Sus scrofa: one gene and its partners. The protein of the gene in region 5 interacts with the protein of the main gene of each other region in a biochemical or structural test. Links are inferred from orthologs where the notes say so. Each region holds a gene or a part of one and is shown on either strand. Other genes may lie near its edges. The genes, in order: SMURF2, ERBIN, ZFYVE9, SKI and SMAD2.

What was found.
Region 1: the proteins of SMAD2 (region 5) and SMURF2 form a complex in vitro, tested with the Homo sapiens proteins (3 studies listed by BioGRID and IntAct, with this or other methods). The link is inferred for Sus scrofa from reciprocal best matches to the Homo sapiens genes SMAD2 and SMURF2.
Region 2: the proteins of SMAD2 (region 5) and ERBIN form a complex in vitro, tested with the Homo sapiens proteins (2 studies listed by BioGRID). The link is inferred for Sus scrofa from reciprocal best matches to the Homo sapiens genes SMAD2 and ERBIN.
Region 3: the proteins of SMAD2 (region 5) and ZFYVE9 are reported together in a solved structure, tested with the Homo sapiens proteins (2 studies listed by BioGRID and IntAct, with this or other methods). The link is inferred for Sus scrofa from reciprocal best matches to the Homo sapiens genes SMAD2 and ZFYVE9.
Region 4: the proteins of SMAD2 (region 5) and SKI form a complex in vitro, tested with the Homo sapiens proteins (4 studies listed by BioGRID). The link is inferred for Sus scrofa from reciprocal best matches to the Homo sapiens genes SMAD2 and SKI.

What each region holds. Positions count from the first base shown.
Region 1 is NC_010454.4:14,469,682-14,473,193, forward strand, and holds part of SMURF2 (E3 ubiquitin-protein ligase SMURF2), read left to right. Parts: intron 1-1,608; coding exon 1,609-1,804; intron 1,805-3,247; coding exon 3,248-3,351; intron 3,352-3,512. UniProt on the Homo sapiens protein: E3 ubiquitin-protein ligase which accepts ubiquitin from an E2 ubiquitin-conjugating enzyme in the form of a thioester and then directly transfers the ubiquitin to targeted substrates.
Region 2 is NC_010458.4:44,414,497-44,418,791, forward strand, and holds the start of ERBIN (erbin), read left to right. Parts: upstream 1-1,492; 5' UTR 1,493-1,630; intron 1,631-4,295. UniProt on the Homo sapiens protein: Acts as an adapter for the receptor ERBB2, in epithelia. By binding the unphosphorylated 'Tyr-1248' of receptor ERBB2, it may contribute to stabilize this unphosphorylated state.
Region 3 is NC_010448.4:159,882,464-159,885,975, forward strand, and holds part of ZFYVE9 (zinc finger FYVE domain-containing protein 9), read right to left. Parts: intron 3,388-3,512; coding exon 3,307-3,387; intron 621-3,306; coding exon 458-620; intron 1-457. UniProt on the Homo sapiens protein: Early endosomal protein that functions to recruit SMAD2/SMAD3 to intracellular membranes and to the TGF-beta receptor.
Region 4 is NC_010448.4:64,186,814-64,191,076, forward strand, and holds the start of SKI (ski oncogene), read left to right. Parts: upstream 1-1,451; 5' UTR 1,452-1,499; coding exon 1,500-2,468; intron 2,469-4,263. UniProt on the Homo sapiens protein: May play a role in terminal differentiation of skeletal muscle cells but not in the determination of cells to the myogenic lineage. Functions as a repressor of TGF-beta signaling.
Region 5 is NC_010443.5:97,481,417-97,485,618, reverse strand, and holds the start of SMAD2 (mothers against decapentaplegic homolog 2), read left to right. Parts: upstream 1-1,395; 5' UTR 1,396-1,396; coding exon 1,397-1,632; intron 1,633-4,202. UniProt on the Homo sapiens protein: Receptor-regulated SMAD (R-SMAD) that is an intracellular signal transducer and transcriptional modulator activated by TGF-beta (transforming growth factor) and activin type 1 receptor kinases.

The DNA of each region.
Region 1 (3,512 bases), on a different chromosome or scaffold from region 5:
CGGCCTTCGCCAGAGCCATAGCAACTGGGATCTGAGCCATGTCTGTGGCCTACACCACAGCTCACAGCAACGCCGGATCCTTAACCCACTGAGCAAGGCCAGGGATCGAACCTGCAACCTCGTGGTTCCTAGTTGGATTCGTTAGCCACTGAGCCATGACGGGAACTCCTTTTCATTTTCTTAATAGTGTCTTTTGAAAGCAGAAAGTTTCTTTGAAATTTCAATGAAGTTCATTTTATCTATTTGTACTTTTATCATTGTGCTTTTGGGATCATATTTAAGAAATCTTTCCCTGACATCAGTCATATAAGTTTTCTAACTGTGTTTCAAAGATTTCGTGGCTTGAGATTTACATTAAGGTCTCTGATCCGTTTTGAGTTTTGTATTTGGTGTAAGGTATACACCAGTTCTTTTAGGGGAGTATAGATTAATATAGTTAAGGTGTATTTTAGGAGTTTTTATATATTTGTTTTGATTTATATATGTGTGTATACATACATATATATATATAACACCTTTATTATAATGTTTACAAGAGTAGTAAATAGTGATTTATAATTTTTATCAAAGCTGCTTTTTTCTCTGGATAGTTATTAGTTAAATGTTCCAGGTATAAAGTTTAGCATGGTATTTAAGAATCACGTATATAAAGTAAGTTGAGTGATTTGTTAGTGAACTGAAGGTTTTTTTTTTTTTTTTTTTTTATTTCCTCATAGCTATCATTACTCTTCACTTGTAAGTTAGGAGATTGTAGTCTTGTATGTAAAATTCCAGCTGAATCACTCAAGGTCTGCATAGATGTCCATAGTAAATTCTCTGACTTTTAATTTCCTGACTGTTTATTGGAATTAACTATTCATTATATCGTAAGAGTCTTAAAAATTCTTAGATGCAACTTATATTTTTGCCAAAGAATAAATATATTATTAGGCAGTGTGCCTTTTAAAAATTGTTATATTTCTGCTGTACTTGGGAGATTATTTACATGTATTTATGGTAAATCATATATGTGCAGTTAGAAGTCACTTCAGCACAGTAGACAATGTGAATGTACTTAATGCCACTTACTACAATGCTTAAAAATGGTTAAAATGTAAAGTTTATGTTACGTGTATTTTACCACAATAAGAAGTTGTCATAAAGCATTTAGACTTGTTTGTAAAGTTCTCATTTCTCTGTGCCAATAATTTCCACGTGACCTGTGGTCTAGACTGTAGCGTGCCTTGAAGGGGGCCCTGTCAAGCTGCCAGTTCAAAGTTTGTCTATTCCAGAGAGACGGACTCTAGATAACAGGGCCAGGCTTTGGCATGTGCCTGAATTTTAAAATGAGTGATGGTAAACTATGCGGAAGAAAATGGAAATGGTATTTGAGAAAGTTGTTCTCAGCAGCTGTATAAAGCTTTTGAGATAAAACTCTATTATCCAAGTCCATAAATTCTGAGAGATAAACTTTAGAATTAGTTTATTGTTGTCAAAAATGTCAGGCTAAGAATATAATAAGGCCTAGAATGATATAGCTAGACTTGGTTTAGAGTATGATGCTATTTTAAATATATGATTGCTGTCTTTTTTGTTTAAAATACTTTAGTAATATTTGTGTACTTTTAGTCGACAGAACCAGTTGAAAGACCAGCAGCAGCAGCAGGTGGTATCGTTATGTCCTGATGACACAGAGTGTCTGACAGTCCCACGGTACAAACGAGACCTGGTTCAGAAGCTAAAAATTCTGCGGCAAGAACTTTCCCAGCAACAGCCTCAGGCTGGCCATTGTCGCATTGAGGTTTCCAGGGAAGAGATTTTTGAGGTAAACTTTTTTTATAGTTAATTGAAGTGTAGTTGATTTGCAGTGTTCTGTCAATTTCTGCTATACAGCAAAGAGGTAAACTTCAAGTCTTACTCTAAAATAGAGAAAAAATTAAATTTCACTGATTTATTCTGTTTTCCAAGTATATTTTGGGGCACTTAGGTCTCTTTAGAATGGGAGAATTTTACTTCCTTTTTTTTTTTTTGGTTGTGCCCAATGCATGTGAAGTTCCCTGGTAAGGGACTGAACTTGTGCCACGGCAGCACCCCAAGCTGCTGCAAGACAGTGTTGGATCCTTAACCTACTGCACCACAAGGGAACTCCTAGAATGGAAGAATTTTCATTAATTTTTTTTAATTGAAGTATAGTTGATTTACAATGTTGTGTTAATTTCTGCGCTACTGCAAGATGATTCAATTACACATATACATACGTCCTTTTATTTAAATATTTTCCATTGTGATTTATCATAGGATATTGAATATAGCTCCCTATATAGTAGGACTTTGTTGTTCATCATTAATTTCTTTTTTAATTGTGGAGAATAAAGGCAATAATACTGGAGACATTTAATATAAGATAAACATATAAGTAAGAGGGAGTGTGAGATACTCTGTGCAGCTTGATCTATGTATTGCAAATATTTATTTGATTTGAATTTTAAAAGTCTACAATACTATCCATCCCTTATTTTCTGATTCTTCCAAAAGGTAAGGGACTCTTAAGTCAGAAAATCCCTTTGTTTCATTACTGTTGGACTACTTCCTTAATTTATTGAAAATCTTCCTTTCTAGTATATCCTTTATCTTTGGATTTTATAGCTCTAATAGCAAAGTTCTTACATAGTAAGTGGCAGAGGTCCAAGGCAGGGTTTCCCACTCATTAAGGGTTCTTAGGCAGTAGACGTTTGGGCGACTTTGTAATCCTTCTCCCAAAGGATCAACTTTTTTCTCTCAGAACAGTTCTGACCTTATTTGTAGTCCGTCATTTGTATTTTTAAAATAATACAAAGTTGTCAGTTTAATGAAGATTACATTAATGACTACTTATGTTTTCTGAAACTTCTTTTTCTTAACTTTACTTTCTACGGTGTCTGTGACCTAGAGGTTAATAAAAAAGTTTGGTCCTGCTATGAACTTCTGTTTTTTGATGTGAGTGGAATCATTGCTATGGTTCAGAGGACTTAAATATGGAGTTTTGCACTTAGTAGGCTTTTAATATAATATTTATCAAATGAATTGGTTCCAGTAGTTTTAAGCTATATCACATTTTGTTTTTAGAAGTTTGTTTAGATTTCAAACACTTGGAGTTTATCTGTTGATTTGATAAACAATTTCCACCTTATTTAAATAAACATATGTTTTGTAGGTGGAATGGGAGGGAGAGTTTAAGTAATAGGTTAAAGGCACCTAGTAATAATAGTGTATTAAATGTTTTTTTCAGGAATCATATCGGCAAGTCATGAAAATGAGACCAAAAGATCTCTGGAAGCGATTAATGATAAAATTTCGTGGAGAAGAAGGCCTTGACTACGGAGGAGTTGCCAGGTGAAGACTTGCTTCTCAGTAACTGATGTGTGGATCCTCATGTTCGCAAATTTAAGATATTTCCTGTGGCGTCGCTTTCTCATTGATACGTGTTTTCTAGCGTAATACTCCCTATTGTGTGCGATGTAAAGGATACCCGAATAGGTGTATTGCTAATGAGG
Region 2 (4,295 bases), on a different chromosome or scaffold from region 5:
CGGCATATGGAGGTTCCAGGCTAGGGTTGAATCGGAGCTGTAGCCACCGGCCTACGCCAGAGCCACAGCAACGCGGGATCCGAGCCGCGTCTGCAACCTACACCACAGCTCACGGCAACGCCGGATCGTTAACCCACTGAGCAAGGCAGGGACCGAACCCGCAACCTCATGGTTCCTAGTCGGATTCGTTAACCACTGCGCCACGACGGAAACTCCAAGGACTCTCTTCTTCCAGGCTGGGCGCAGGGCAGCCGGGATCGACTTCGCCCGCATCCCCACCTTGGGCGGCTGGGGAGCAGCACGCAGGCCTCCCGGGCCTGGGCCAGAGCTGGCCTCACGCCGGACCTAGCTCGCGAACCCCCGGCCGCCGGCCCCGCCTCCCGGGCCCCCAAGACTATCACCCCCCGCTGCCGCCGCCGCCCCCCGCCGCCACCGACGTCGGCCCGCACCGCCCCCGCGCGCGGTGACTGGCTCGCGCCGGCCTCCAGCCCGGCTGTTGGAGGTTGGGGCGAAGCGGGCGGGAGGCCGCCCCGCCCCCGCCGCGGAGCCGCCGCCGCGCGCAGCCTCTTCCCCCCTCGCCGCCGGGGCGGTGGCGCTGTTGCCTCCGCGGCCTGTGAGGCAGTAACTCCCCTCCGCCCCAGCCCCCTTCCTCCTCCTTTCTCTCCGCTCCCTCCCTCCCCTCCCCTCCCCTCCCCTCCCCGCCCCTCGCAGTCTCTCGCTCGAGTGAATGTGGCGCGGCGGCGCGGGACGCAGTCTCGGCCCCTGCCGCGGCCCCGCGAGCTTGTGAGGAGACGAAGCCGCCGCCTGCCCCCACCCCCTGCGCTTCCCGGGGGAGCCACCGCCGCCAGGGAAGAAGAACGAGGAGGGGAGCGAGGGGACGGTGGCGGGAAAACAGGAGGGGGAGGAGAAGAGGGCTCGAGGGCAGGGAAGGAAGGCGGGGAGGGACGTACGGAAGGACGGACAGCCCGACGGCCGGCCGGGGGAGGGGGCCGCCATCGAGCCTGCCCGGCCCCTCGGCTCGGGCTCCGGGCGGCCGCGGCTGCGGCCGCGCGGGCGAAGGGCGCGGCAGGCGCTACCGAGACAATAACCCCGCCGCCCGGCTCCGGGGGTGGCGGCGAGGAGGCGGCGGCGGCCTAGCGCGGCAGAGGCTCTCCCAGCGCCCCGGTGGCATCTTTGCCCCCGCGGGCCAGGTTCGCCTGCCGTCGGATATCGGGGCGCGCGGGTCGCCCGGAGTCCCAGGCTCTCGGCTGACGCCCCCTGCCCTCCCCCGCCCGACGCGCGTGGAGCTGGTTTTCCGGGTTCCCCTGGACCGAGCTGGATCCTGCTGCTCGCCAAGGCAGGAAGTGAGTTTCGCACGGTAATTCCGGGCGGTGTCACGAGTGAAAAGTTTTTTTTTCGACGGAGATCCTAGTTGGGGCTGGGAAACTCCTGCAAAACTCGAGACCAGGAAGCCAGCCCGCTTCCCAACCCCCACCGGAGCCACCTACTCTTCCTACTGCGGGAGGCCACTCCACATCCGCTCTCACCGGAGAGAGAAATTCGGCTGGATCCGAAGTGACTAATGAAGGGGAGGAAATCATGTCAGGCGAAGCCTTGAAAAAGCTGTCCTGAGACACTGCCCGACCGAAAGGTAATTTTCACCCAAAGTGTCTGCGAGTCACAAAGCTCCCCGGCCAGGAAAGAGAGGAAACTTTAGTGTTTTCCACTTTTTCTCAAGTTGCCCTAAATTCTCCCTCTCTCCTGTCGGACGGGGTAGTGATTTAGGTGCAAAGCAGTAGAACTGATTTTATTCTCCTTTCTACCATCTGGACCCTGGTCATTTTAGAAGAGGTTGTAAGAATGCGGTGGGACGAAAAGTTTTAAGCAATTCCGAGGAAAGAATGCCTTTGTTCAGCAGAAGGTCCAGAAATCTTAGTTTCCCGGAACATATACAATGTATGTTTTTGATTTATTAAGTTGCTGAACCTGACAACTTTTGTTTTGGATGAAAGTTAGGTCACTGCGGCGAGCAATCGGCTGCTGTTGAGATGGCTGCCACAGTATTTGTTTATACTGTTACCGATTATTTTGCTTTTGCATTTAAATGTATATGGAGTTATTTAGTTCCAACTCTTATGACTGTGTTTCATTGGGTTTTATAAACAAAAAACTCTTTGCCGTTCTTAGTCGTTTTTTCAGGTGGGTAATATATATGTCTTCAGTAACTTGTTCTTTTCGGACATTTATAACTTTATAATACTTGTTTGGTGTTGTCTACAAGCTACTGTCTACAAGATTTTTCTTGTAACTGACCTAGTAGGGAGAAAAAGTGTTACGGCTAAAGAGTGATGATTAAAAAGCAAACATGAATGCCTGTAAGTGGTTTGATTTGTTAGGACTTCTGTGCAATTCGGAACTGAATGTATAGGAAAGGAAGTAAAACGCTTAAAACAGTGTTCATGGGCATCACAGTGATTGTGATAAATAGCTGTGCTTTTTGGTTAGCACATTATTTACATTTTTTTGTTGTTGTTGGCCCAAATGTTTTGACCGGGTCTGCCACCTAATAAGTGATGAGTATCTGCTGTGGGGGCAGGGATTAAGTGAAGCACGGTGACATTCCACCAGTCAGTTATAAATATAAACACTTCTGAACCAGTCGGTAGTCTTTATAGATCAAACTAGTTTTGGTTGCTGCAGACACAGACGGTTTCTTCTGTGGTGTTTTTAATGAGTGTCTTTTTAAGTTTGGTTCCCCCCCCCCCGTGCTTTTTTGGTAAAGGGAGGTAAAAGATAAACTCTGCTCTTGAATAAATGTCAAATAAACGTGGTATTTTGTTTGTAGATATATCTTAAATGTAAATTAATATTTATTTGCCCTTGCCACCACAAGAAAAATGGTTGGCTTTCTTTAGTTCCAAAAAGAGACAAGGTAGGTTTTAAACAGTAGGTTCAAATAATTTCACAACTTTTTCTTTGTTACTTCAAATTAAGTATGTTTCAAAAAGGGGGTCTTTTAACTATTACTATATATTGTTTTGATTTTTTTTTTTCTTGGAGCTTAGTCTCTGGAGCTCCTTTTTAAAAACAATTTTGTAGTTTTTTAAATTGTTGGTAAGATTTTGTGAACCATCAAGTAATTCCTATTAAGTGAAAGTAGCTTTATCAAATAATTTAAAGTATGTAAGTGATCTACTTTATGATTTTAGAACTTAAAATTAGGCAACGAAAGAGGTTATTCTTGGGCATCTGAAAGAGGGGAACAAAATAAATGGCATTGAACTTCGGTTTCCTTATATGGTTTATACTTGGCTTCAGAGCAACAAAGCCTTAATAGAGCAAGTCTTTTATAGAGAATTATCACTTTGCGAAAGTGTTCCTTTCTCTGTGTTAGGAAATTTTACTTGAAAGAAGTATTATAGTCCTCAAAAATACCTATTTAAATGCCTGTTGTTAGATATAGCTCTTGATTTTTTTTCTTGAGGGAGCATAGTATGTATAGATGCAGACAACATGTTTTAAAAGATGTTCACCTTTGTAGTTGTCTTTGATTCCTTTTTCCCCTCAACAAGGCAAAATTTACTTTGAGGTTTATTTATTTTATTAGTTTAGCACTGGATTAACTTAATGAATTTTAGGTTTTATACTGTTGTCAAACTGTAAATATTTTTCAAAGTTTTGTTTAAAATTTGACAGTGGTTTGAAAATAAGTTTAAAAAATGGTCATAAAAATATTTTAAAATGGCTTCAAATTTTGGATATTTTTCTTAGTATTCTGTGGGTTTTTTAGATTAAATTCACAAATCTGGAGTACTTCCAAGGTGTTTGTAGAAAATGCGCACTTGATGGCCCTGTTTGTTAAAGGTACTGGGAGTTTTCAAAAGTGATAAACTTAATCTTTCAACTAATTAATTCAGATATTATGAAGTTTCCCTACTGTTTGTGAACAAATTATTGCCAACTTTTCATGTATAAAAAGCTTACAGAGGTTCCAATATGGGAACCAATTTTTTATTGCTTGTTTTTTCTTCATGAAGCAATAACTACAGTTAGAGACATTTGATGTGTATCATTGGTAAATGTCTAAAACTCAGGTATTTTAGAGATTTTGGTAGTGAGCTCATGGCAGTAAACAGTACCTCACTTTAAGAGACAAGAATTTCAGAAAATTAAGTGCATATTTATGCATTTATTTTAAATTATTGCCTGTAGATAAATATGGTAGTGATTATGAAGTATTTGGGATTCTGTAGGTTTTAGTGATGTTAGATAGGAAAGTATTTTTTTTTTTTTTTTTTTGTAATTTCTAGTTGTCT
Region 3 (3,512 bases), on a different chromosome or scaffold from region 5:
TTCATCAACTCCTTCCTTCATCCTCCCTTCAAAAACATGTACCAAAACTGCTTTAGAAATTAAGTCAAGAGGAATTCCCGTTGTGGCTCAACAGGTTAGGAGCCCAATGGGTATCCATGAGGATGCAGCTTCAATCCCTAGCTTTGTTCAGTGGGTTAAGGATTTGGTGTTGCCGTGGCTGTGGCATAGGCCAAAGCTGTAGCTCCAGTTCGACCCCTAGCCTGGGAACTTCCATATGTTTCAAGTGCAGCCCTGGAAAAAAAAAAAAAAAAAAGAAAAGAAAAGAAGAAAAGAAATTAAGCCAAGAAACCAGAAATACAAATTCCATGTGCAAATTGTACAAAGCCGTCCTTTCTTGTAGGCAGGGCTTTCAGTAAAGTTATAAAACATCAGGATGGCCAAAACCCAGAGCCTGGCCCAGAAGGAAGTGCCGCAGCGGGGAAGCTCAGCGCTTTACCCCTTGTTGACGTCCTTGTCGTCATCCACCCACTGGATGAGGATGTGCTCCTGGGGGTCCTCAGCATCCGCCTTGCCGCAGGTGATGGTGAAGTCCTTCATCTCCCGCAGAGCCTGCCGCAAGGCATCCATGTTCTCCGCAGTGATCTGGACCATGACGCCGTCTGAGAAGCAGCACCGAGATAACACAGGTGGGAGCAAGGCACAGCCAGGGAGGGGAGACAAAACCCCTTCCTGGCATCGAGCAAATCCCTCTAGGGTTAATGTAAAACTCTGCTCTGCCCTCTAAAGCTGACAGATGCAAAGACGTTTTGCTCTTTGAGCTGAACCTCTTACTGGCTGAACGTGTTACAAAGCGCAAAGGCCAAGATGGAGTCTGCTTAAAACTCCTACCTATGGATTTCACTTCAGGCACAACTGAGAGCTTCTCGTGAGACTGTTCAAAGGGAAAACTTACGCACAGTCACATCCCTCTTCTGGACTCAGAGAGAGCATTCTGTTCCTGCTTCCACGGTGACATTTATCATGCTCTAATCATATCTATTTCTTTGCATTTCTGTCTCTCCCACTGTCCTATGATTGCATACAGTGAATGCCCAGTGTTTGTTAAATAAATCACTGGGAAGGAGAATAAATTCATGTACTGACTAACAGTAAGACCAACCTACACATACGTTTTACCTGGGCTATCATATAGCCAACAGATTATAACTGTTAGGGGCTGCTACATACCCAAGTCAAAGGCAAACACTGAAAACTGAGGGTGAAAGTTGTCACATGCTGAGCAATTAACCTGCTTTGTTAATACAAAATTTTGTCAGGTGAAATAATTTCTGAAGAGCATGACTAAAATTTTCATAAATGGGCAACCAAGTGCTCTACTGGCACATTTAGTGAAACATAAGAGCTAAGAAATTCCTAACCCGAAGACATAATTTTAAAATATAATTACTCTGCATTTGTAAGGATCTGTGTCCATTTGAATCATCACTTTGACAACATTTAAAGGGTGCTTTTTAATCATCTTGTCAGGATAGATTTCAAATGCAGTCAATACTTGATCACACAGGCATTAATTAGTCGCTAAGACCAAACAACTACTTAACACCTAGATTTCCTAACAATTTCTTAATAGCATGTTCTGCTCTGCAGTTGTGACATTTAGTTGTGAAATATTAGCATGCTTTGTTCTTCGCTTTCAGCTTTATTAAGTTTACCAAAAAAGGAGATCAAAATCAATCTCTATTAACATACACAAGATTATCTATGTATTTCAATGAACACAATGAAATCCACCCTCAGAAGAACTGCTCTTCAGGTGCTGGAGTGAGCTCACGTGGAAATGAAAACCTGTCACTGCGGGTACGGATTGTATTTTCCGGAGACGACCACAATACCTCCTGTCTCACGTGCTTTCCTACAATGCTACTTTCCCATTTCCCCATCGAGAAAGAGTAAGTCCTCAGCCCTTGAGCAGGCTTTTGACCACTTCCAACACTAGAGTATGGTGGAAGTGACACTGTAGGACTTTTGAGTTTGGGTCATAAAAAGCAACGAGGCTTCTACCTTGTGCTGGACACTTGTGCTTGGAGTCCCGAGCCACCGTGTAAGAAGTCCAACCATCCCAAAGCTGCATGCTAAGGAGTCCAGTGTGCAAGGACTCCAGGGACTACTTTTGGTCTTTAAATCATCCCAGGACAGGCTCCAGATACATAAGTCAACAAACTTTAAGATAATTCTAGCTCTCAGCCATCAGGTAACAACCACCCTTCAGGCATTCCAACTGAGTCCCCAGACATCACTGAGCAGGGTCAAGCCATCCCTATATTGCCCTGTCAAGGGCAGATGCAGAAGAATCAGTGAGCACAGTAAAATAGCTGTTTTAAGCCATTAAATTTTGGTTTAATTTGTTATGCACCAAGAGTAACCAGACCAAAATACAGTGAAGAATAATTGACAAAGACAATAAATAGTATGCCCATTAGCCTTTCACTGATTTTCATTAAACTAACTTTTGTCAGGATATGTGTCCTATCTAATTATAGCAAACCAGCAGCAAATGCATCATTCTGTACACCAAATGGTGACTGCAGCATTCTCATGGATAACAGGGGCTGAAATTCATCTGCATATTTACAGATTCGCACCCAATGATATATTTGAACTCAGACTACGTCCCCTTGGGTACCTTAGCTCTGAAAAGCTATCTCTTTCTCTCTCTCTTTTTCTTTTCTTTCTTTTTTTTTTTGTTGTTTTTATAGAATGATTTTTATTTTTTTTCCATTATAGCTGGTTTACAGTGTTCTGTTAATTTTCTACTGTTCAGCAAGGTGACCCAGTCACACATGCATGTACACATTCTTTTTTCTCACATTATCATGCTCCATAAGTGACCAGACATAGTTCCCAGTGCTACACAGCAGGATCTCATTGCTAATCCATTCCAAAGGCAATAGTCTGCATATATTAACCCCAAGCTCCCCATCCACCCAACTCCCTCTCCCTCCCCCTTGGCAGCCACAAGTCTATTCTCCAAGTCCATGATTTTCTTTTTTATGGAAAGGTTCATTTGTGCCACATATTAGACTCCAGATAGAAGTGACATCACATGGTATTTTGTCTTTCTCTGAAAAGCCATCTCTTAATTTTTATGTTGGTGTCCCATGGTATTTCTCCCACTTATTTCCTTCTCTGGAGAGAAGGCACCCTTGTGGTAGTTTTAACTACCTGTTGAGTGAGATGCTACTGAATAAACGAGTCAGAAGTCTAACGCCAAAGTGTCAAGGCTTCCATTCATGACCCTTGTATAATTACGACTGTATAAGGTACATGCAGTAACTCATTCGTTACCTTCCACAATGCTGGACTTGGCAAGATATCCCGACGAGGACTTCAGAGCGCCACTGAACACAAAGAAACTGGCACCAGTCACTAAAATAGCAATGGAAAGAGTTTAGTGAACAAAGACTTGGAGATGGAGGGATTGAGAATAATAATGAAGTATCTGGTAGCTGGGAACTCCAACCACCATCATATAGAAAATAAAAAACACTGAC
Region 4 (4,263 bases), on a different chromosome or scaffold from region 5:
CCAGCAGTCATGCCTTGGCGGTCGGTCCCCAGGACAGGCTGCACGGGGTCTGTCTCCTGCGGGGGGGGTGTGTGTCTCCGGGGTGCTGCACTCCTAACCCACATCGTGTTGCTTGGTGTCCCTGTACTATGTGCGACTTGGATCATTTTGCCTGGTGTCCCCATCGTGTGCGTGGGGACCGCGGCGTTGATGGAGGACGCGCGGCCCGTCCTGTCCGCTCCTCAGCTGGTCTGCGGTTGTGGTGGGGGCCCCGTGTGGGTTTCTGGGCTCTGGTGGCGACGGGGCGGCGGGCCGGGGGCCTTCGCGGCCGCGCAGGAAGCGGCCTCCGCCGGATGAGGGGCCTGGGGCGCCGCCGTCGCCCCCGCGGAGCCGCCTTCCGGCGGGTGGGGCCGATCGGCGCCGAACAGCGCTGAACCCCTGGCGGCTGCGGCCGAGCGGAGCCGAGCGGAGCCGAGCAGACCCGAGTCCCCGGCGGGCTGGGCCGAGCGGAGCCGAGTCCCGGGCGGACGGGCCCGAGCGCGGCCGAGCGCGGCCGAGCGCCGGGCGTGGGCGGGGGGAGCGCGCGTTCCTGGAAGAGCCGGGTCGGGGGGCCGGCGCATTCCAGGCCGGCGCTCGGCTGAGGCGGACGCGCGGCCCCAGACGACGCGCGGGGCGGGGCGGCGGCGCGGCGCGGGGCGGGGCGCGGGGCGGGGCGGCGGCGTGAGCTCAGCGCCCGGCGCTCAGTCCGAGCTGGAGCGAGCCGCCGGGAGGATGTGCGCCGATCTCCGCGCCGCCGCCGCCGCCGCGGTCTGAGGCCGCCGCCACAGGCGCTCCGCCGCCCCGGAAGCCGCGCGCGCGCGCGCGCGGGCGGGCGGGCAGGCCGCGGAGCCGGGCGCGGGCGGCGGGGTGGGCGCGGGCCGGGCCGGGAGGCCGGCGGCGGGCGCGACGCGGCCGGCCAGCGCCGCCGGGACGAGCCGGGCGGGCGCCGCGCGGTGGGAGGAGCGGGGCGGCGGCGGCGGCGCGCCGCGCGAGGACGGCCCGGCGGGCCCCGCGCCCGCGCCCCCGCTCCTCCCGGGCCCCTCGGCCTCGGCCGCCGCGGCGATTCGCGCCTCGCGGCGCCGGCACCTGCCCGCGCGCCCCCCGCGAGCCCCGGGCCCGCGAGCGTTGGCGTTGGCGTTGGCGGCGCGCGCTGGGGCATGCCCCGCGCCTAGGGCCCGGGGGGCGCGCGGGGGGCGCGCGGGGGCCCGGGCGGCGGCGGGCGCGGCGCGGGGCGCGTGGATGTGGCGCCGGGCCCGGGCGGCGGCGGGCTGCAGCGGCGGGACCCCTTCGCCCCGCCCGCCTTCCCCTTCGCGCCCCCGGGCGAGGCCGAGGCCGCGGCCGTGATCGGCCGGGAGCCGGTGGCGGGGGGCGGCCGGGGCCGGGGCCGGGGGCGCCGCCGGGGCGCGCGGGGCGGCGGCGGCGGGGGCCGCGGGGGCCCGGGCGCGCGGGAGCGGGAGCGGCCTGGGGAGCCGGAGCGCACCATGGAGGCGGCGGCGGGCGGCCGGGGCGGCTTTCAGCCGCACCCGGGGCTGCAGAAGACGCTGGAGCAGTTCCACCTGAGCTCCATGAGCTCGCTGGGCGGCCCGGCCGCCTTCTCGGCGCGCTGGGCGCAGGAGGCCTACAAGAAGGAGAGCGCCAAGGAGGCGGGCGCGGCCGCGGTGCCGGCGCCGGTGCCCGCGGCCGCCGAGCCTCCGCCGGTGCTGCACCTGCCCGCCATCCAGCCGCCGCCGCCCGTGCTGCCCGGGCCCTTCTTCATGCCGTCCGACCGCTCCACGGAGCGCTGCGAGACCGTGCTGGAGGGCGAGACCATCTCGTGCTTCGTGGTGGGCGGCGAGAAGCGCCTGTGTCTGCCGCAGATCCTCAACTCGGTGCTGCGCGACTTCTCGCTGCAGCAGATCAACTCGGTGTGCGACGAGCTGCACATCTACTGCTCGCGCTGCACGGCCGACCAGCTGGAGATCCTCAAAGTCATGGGCATCCTGCCCTTCTCGGCGCCCTCGTGCGGGCTCATCACCAAGACGGACGCCGAGCGCCTGTGCAACGCGCTGCTCTACGGCGGCGCCTACCCGCCGCCCTGCAAGCAGGAGCTGGCCGCCAGCCTGGCGCTGGGCCTGGAGCGCAGCGAGCGCAGCGTGCGCGTGTACCACGAGTGCTTCGGCAAGTGCAAGGGACTGCTGGTCCCCGAGCTGTACAGCAGCCCGAGCGCCGCCTGCATCCAGTGCCTGGACTGCTCTCTCCTGTACCCACCGCATAAGTTCGTGGTGCACTCGCACAAGGCCCTGGAGAACCGGACCTGCCACTGGGGCTTCGACTCGGCCAACTGGCGGGCCTACATCCTGCTGAGCCAGGACTACACCGGCAAGGAGGAGCAGGCGCGCCTCGGCAGATGCCTGGACGACGTCAAGGAGAAGTTCGACTACGGCAACAAGTACAAGAGGCGGGCGCCCCGGGTGAGTGTCCTGCGAGCGGCGGCGGCGCGCCTGGGGGGGGGCGGCGGCGGTGGGGGGGGGGTGGTGGCTGTGGGCAGGGGCTGGGGCGCGCGGTGCGACCTGTGCTTCCTCCGCCTCCACACGTCTCGGTGTTTTGTTTTGTTTTGTTTTAAGGAGACTGGGGTGGGGGGGCAGGGGAGTGTCCTTGTCCCCCTAGAGGGCCAGGTAGCCCGGGAGGAAGAGCCTCCTGTCTGACTCCCAGCCTGAGCCAGGCTGGCCTGGTTGGGAGCCCTGGGGAGCCTGGGGCAGGCTTGGTGGGCGAAGCCTTGCTGAGGCCCACGGTCATTGCCCAGACAGCCGGGAGGGGCAGGCTGCAGACCTTGGACTCTCTGTCCCGAGTCCCCGGGAAAGTGGTTCTGGCTGGGCCCAAGCTGGAGCTCCAAGTCCAGTCCTTCCTCGGGCCCAAAGCAAGTGTCCAGCCCCCATGCGCGAGGGGGACTGCCCTGGCCCCCAAGCTCCCAGGCTCGCACACGGGGTGCCTGGCACTTCCCAGCAGGCAGAACTTGGCCAGGCGGGGCCTGTTTGTGCCTTGAAGTCTCGGGAGACAGACTCAAAGCCCAAGCCAGGTGTCCAGGCCCTGGTGGCAGGGGGCCGAGACTTGGCGACTCCAGCTCTCTGTGTCTGCCCTGGCCTGGCAGGCAGTGAATTGTGGAGTCCCCCGTGTGGGGGCGAGGGCTGCTTGGCACAGGGCTTGGGGACTGGTCAGCGGGCACCCAGGGCCCCGGGTGTCAGGGTAGCCGCCGGCCTGTGATTCGTTTTGGACATGTCCTTATCTCCTTGTTTCCTTCTCGCTGAAACGCCGAAGGGTGCAGCAGGGAGGCCGCTGGCCGAGGCGCTGTTGTTTGCCAGGCTGGGGGTCTGTGTGATCCGGCCTGGCTGCTCCCGGGCCACCAGGCGCCCCAGCCCTCCATCAGGGTCGACACCAACTTTTCATGGCGTCTTCCCCCCGCCCCAAGTATTTGCAACTTTTCTTTGAAATATGCAGGCTTATTAAATTGCACACACAGAATGCTGCACTGGCTCAGCTATTCTTGGGAGGCCTAATTAATTCAGCTATTGCATCAAACTTTTTTTTTTCCAAATCTGTGAATAGATGCTCCCCCCAGTTCTCTCTGGGCGCCTCTCCAGCGGAGTGTCAGAGTCTCAGGGAGCGGAGGAGGGGAGGGAATAAGGGCCTGCTGCCCGCGCTCAGAGGGGCCACCGCGTGTGCGTCCGTGTATCTGGTGGTGGTGCTGCCCTTGGCTAGGCCAGCGCCCAGGTGGCAGCTGTCTGCAGGCTGTGGAGTTGGCACGGGGTGGGGGAGCCGGTCTGGGTGGGCAGCTCGGTGGGGGAGGGTGCCCATGGGAACGGCTGCCGGCAGATCTCAGCAGGCTGGCCAGGCCCGTCGTGCAGGCTGCTGTTGGCTGTGGGTGGCGTGATGGGTGCTCCCCGGGGCCTGGGGTGCCCGCTCCCTCGACAGCCATCTTGCCGGCGCTGGTGGGTTCTGGCGGGCTGGTTAAGCCTGTGGTGGGCAAGGCTGTGGCGGGTTCCTCTGCTCCAGAGTGGACAGCAGAGGGTCCACGGGTGGTTGGGACTGCGGCAGGGTGTGTGCCCGTCTGGGTCCTGGTCTGGGTCCTGGGTGGTTGGGACTGTCTTGCTGGGGTCTGCTTTTTGTCATCGCTGAAGGCCCTTCCGGGCCCTGGTGTCCGCAGGCTCAGGGAAGGCCTGGCCCAAGCTGGTGGCCTGGAGGGGAGGCCGGAGCATGCTGGTGATTTCA
Region 5 (4,202 bases):
CTTTGCATCTTTAACTTTTAGACGGGTTCAGAAAAACCATGATTTTATAGTTTATCTGTCTTGTTTTGTTTGTTAGGGTGAAAGTGATGGTCTCTTGTGATTTGCTACATCCTGTTTAGAAGTGGAACTCCTTCATGGAATACTTTCTGATATATAGTCTGGCAAATACCTGATAAAATTTATCTGACCTCACTCAGTTTGATTTTCTACAGTATTTCTCAGAGCTGCATTTCTAAATCTTTTCCATTCTTCTCAAATCTAAACTCTCTAGTTCTGCCCTCAGTGGTAAATGTTCTTATCTCTTACTTTGAGATTAAAGCTGTTGACATTAAATTTTAATTGAGGGACTTGGTAGAGAGAGTAGGAAGAATTTATGGTAGGTGCTTAGAAAACTAGGCAGATGAAAAACTGACATAATTAGCTCTGGAGAAAAAGAAAGAGATGTACAAAAAAGGAAACAGGATTATATAGTAGTTTACTACTAATCTCTTCAGGTATAAAACTACAGTTGGAAGATAATTATTTTCAGGGCTGGAGGAAAAGCAAGTGATTGTGGTGTAAATCTTCATTTTCAATAGGTATATTTAACTTGATACTTCAAGGGGGACCATTGCTTAGGTATAAATAGCAAGAGTAAAGGTTCAAAGATTTTAAAGAGTTGTACCTTGGTGTGGGGAGAAGAGCTTTATTTGACTTTATCCACTATGTGGGTTGTTACTTAGATAGAGAAAAAAATATTTTTAAAATGAAGCTTAATTAAAAGTCTTCTCAAAGTGAACCACATCTCTTCCTCACAGTCTCTCGTTACCTTTACTTCTGGTTGTTTACTTCACACTTGATGCCTTTCTCCTTTCCCCTTGTTATGACCTTAGACTTTACTTTATGATAGTTATGAAAGTTTAAAACTTCGGGGAGATTGGCCCTGTAAATTAAAAAAATGTATTTTTGTTAAGTGTCTTGAGAATAGACTGAAATTCTAAAAACATAAGGAAAACTTTGTTTTAGTGAAAATATTTTATTGCTACTATTAAAAGGTAAAAATATAGTAGTATGGGTAGTGATTAATGGTCCAGTGTTGATAAAGATAAAAAAATTTTCTGTCTTGCAAAATTGTTCTCTTGGCCCACTTATCATTGTCTTGTTTTTAGAAGGATTTGTTTCCACAGTTCATTTAAATTCGTGAAGACTTGTCATGGGTGAAAAAGATAACTTCTGAAAGTCTGTTCTGAAAGTAATAATTTGAATTTCTTATCTCATTTTGTAATTTGCTTTTGCTCCTGTGTTGAAAGCAGTAGTTGATGGTAAAGTTAGCCTCTCAACTGTCCTTTCCATATCTTTTCTAGGTTAGATTAAGGAGGATATTTTCTTAGTGTGGACCGCTGCCTTTGGTAAGAACATGTCGTCCATCTTGCCATTCACTCCGCCAGTTGTGAAGAGACTGCTGGGATGGAAGAAGTCAGCTGGTGGATCTGGAGGAGCAGGTGGAGGAGAGCAGAATGGACAGGAAGAGAAGTGGTGTGAGAAAGCAGTTAAAAGTTTGGTGAAGAAGCTAAAGAAAACAGGACGATTAGATGAGCTTGAGAAAGCCATCACCACTCAAAATTGTAATACTAAATGTGTTACCATACCAAGGTAAGTGTGGTTAGGTCAGAAACTTGATGGCCATCCTGTTGAAAATTGCTTAAAGGAATCTGCAGGAAAGTTACTGAAATTTTGTTACATGCAATTCACCTGTCAATAGTGATTATTAAAATATGAAATCTATTTCTAACCTGTCATATTAATTTTGTTGGACACGATAAGACTTGTTTATTTTATAAATCCTTTTCTTGAACAGCGAGAAAGTTTAATCAAGCAAAATAAAATACTTAGATTTTACTAAGGTTTATCTTCACTGTCTTCATTTGCCTTCATTGCCTAAATGCTTCATTGTATGTTATCCTAATTTTTGTGATTGAGTGACATTTGAATAAAGATTCAAAGATTTTTGTATCACTAGTGCAGTAGTGACTGACAGTTTCCTGCTCCTCTGGTCAAAACTTCAGTAAGGAGTTAACAGAGGCTGCTAACATTGTGACGAGTTATGGCTTTTGTTTGAGTTGCAGCATTATTTCTAAGAAAGAACAGTATATGAGGCAGCTTCTTAGGTGCCATAGTCAGATCCTGTCTTGAAGACCTGCCTCGTATAAGAGAAGGACCTGTTACCTAAGAGGTTGAAGTTTTATTAGTATAAATTTAATCATTTACAGATCATTACCACTGTCAGAAATTCTGGTTTTTCAAATAGCATAACGAGTAGTTTTTAAGTGTTGTAGTGTACACTACTGTAGTTGTGCACATTGCAGGGTTATGGGGAGTGTGAGTTTATAGCATTTTCTAAAATGATTGTTTGCAGTGCCATACACATAGGCTAGCATATGGCACATGAAACCATTCTACTTGACATGTTTCTAATGAGTTTTGGGAAATAACTCTGGATGCTTGTGATAATAGCTCCCAGTGACACCAGCCTTTCTTTCTTGCAGATACTAACTAGAATGTTTCCTGCCTTGTTTTGTTTGGTAATAAAACAAAATTACCGATTACTTTCCATTTCTTTTACCTTGTTTCATGTATTTCTTTTTTTTTTTTAACTTTTATTTTTATTTTTTTGCTTTTTAGGGCCACACCCATGGCATATAGAGGTTCCCAGGCTAGGGATCGAATTGAAGCTGTAGCCACTGGCCTGTGTCACAGCCACAGCAACGCCGGATCTGAGCCGCATCTGCAACCTACACCACAGCTCACAGCAATGCTGGATCCTTAACCCACTGAGCGAGGTCAGGGATCAAAACTATATCCTCATGGATGCTAGTCAGATTCGTTTCCACTGAGCCACAATGGGAACTCCTTGTTTCAGGTATTTCTTAAGTAAGGGTCACTTTTCTTGGTTTATTCTTTTGTTTTAGAAATGCTTATGGATGCCTTCCGTGTGAAAGGCACTGGTTTTAGGCATATGGGACACAGCATGGATGAAATGCGGAGTTCCTGCCCTCCTGAGGGACAGATACACACTGTAAACAAGTGGACAAATTAATGTAATTTGAGATGGTAATGAGGACAAAAGACAGTGACTGAAGGATTAAAAAGCTGCTTTGGATTGGATTGTGACACTTAAGCTAAACTTGGAGAAGTAGCAGGTAGCTGAAGGAAGTCTTCTAGGCAGAGGAAGGGGCAAGCATACAGACGCCAGGGTGGGACATAGCTTGTCGTATTGGAGACTTAATGGATCGAAGTAGAGATGCAGTAACACCAAATGAGCACAAGGCTTGGGAGGAGTCAGATTAGATGGGGCATCAGGAGGCGGTTTGGATTTTAGTCCCAGTACAATAGGAAGCAAATGAAGATTTTTAAAGTGGATTTTTAAATTTAAGTAAATTTTAGAAGAAATTTTTATCTTTATATCTTAGATCACTCTGGCTGCTGGAGACAAGAGGGTGTGGATAGTGGAGTGTGTGGGCATGTGTGTTATAGACTGGTGTGGTATAGTGGTGTGGACGCAGAGGAATGAGGCGACTGTTAAAGTAATCCAGAATGGAGATGCCAGAGGCTAGGCTGGGCTGGCGAGGTGGTGGTAACTCGGGAAGTGGATGAATCTGGTTGGAAGCTGAACTGACAGGATTTGCTAATGAATTGGCTAGGAATAAGTCAGGCCATATTTGTTGATTTTTCATTGTATAGTGTCTGATGTTTCAGTTCAGTAAACATTTAGAAACATAAAAGTCTTTGCTCTTGAGTTGCTTACTTTCTAGAAAGGAAGATAAACTTTAAAAAAGAAGAAAGATAATTTCATAACATCCAGGGGTTGTTCTGAAAGATGTATGCTTAGGGACCTATGTCCAAAGAGGGGGAGCCTTCCCTACTCCATGCTGTGTGGAAAGTTTCCTGCTGGAGAAAGATTGATGCCTGGGTTGAGTGGATGTCAAGGAGGACTTTTCAGGAGAAGCTGAATCCCTCCAGAGAGGCTCTGTGGTATTGAGGGTGGCAGTTGGCCAGAACTGGTGAAGGGTGTCCTGGGAGTTGGAGGTGGCATATGGCAGGAGCGAGAGGCTGTGTGGGTGTGAGGAGCCCCCACATCCTGCACTTAGGGGTTCACCCTGAACCCCAGCGTGGTTGGGTGAGAGTGGAGTCCTCGGTGTTAGGTAAAGAAGACTCCTGAGTTG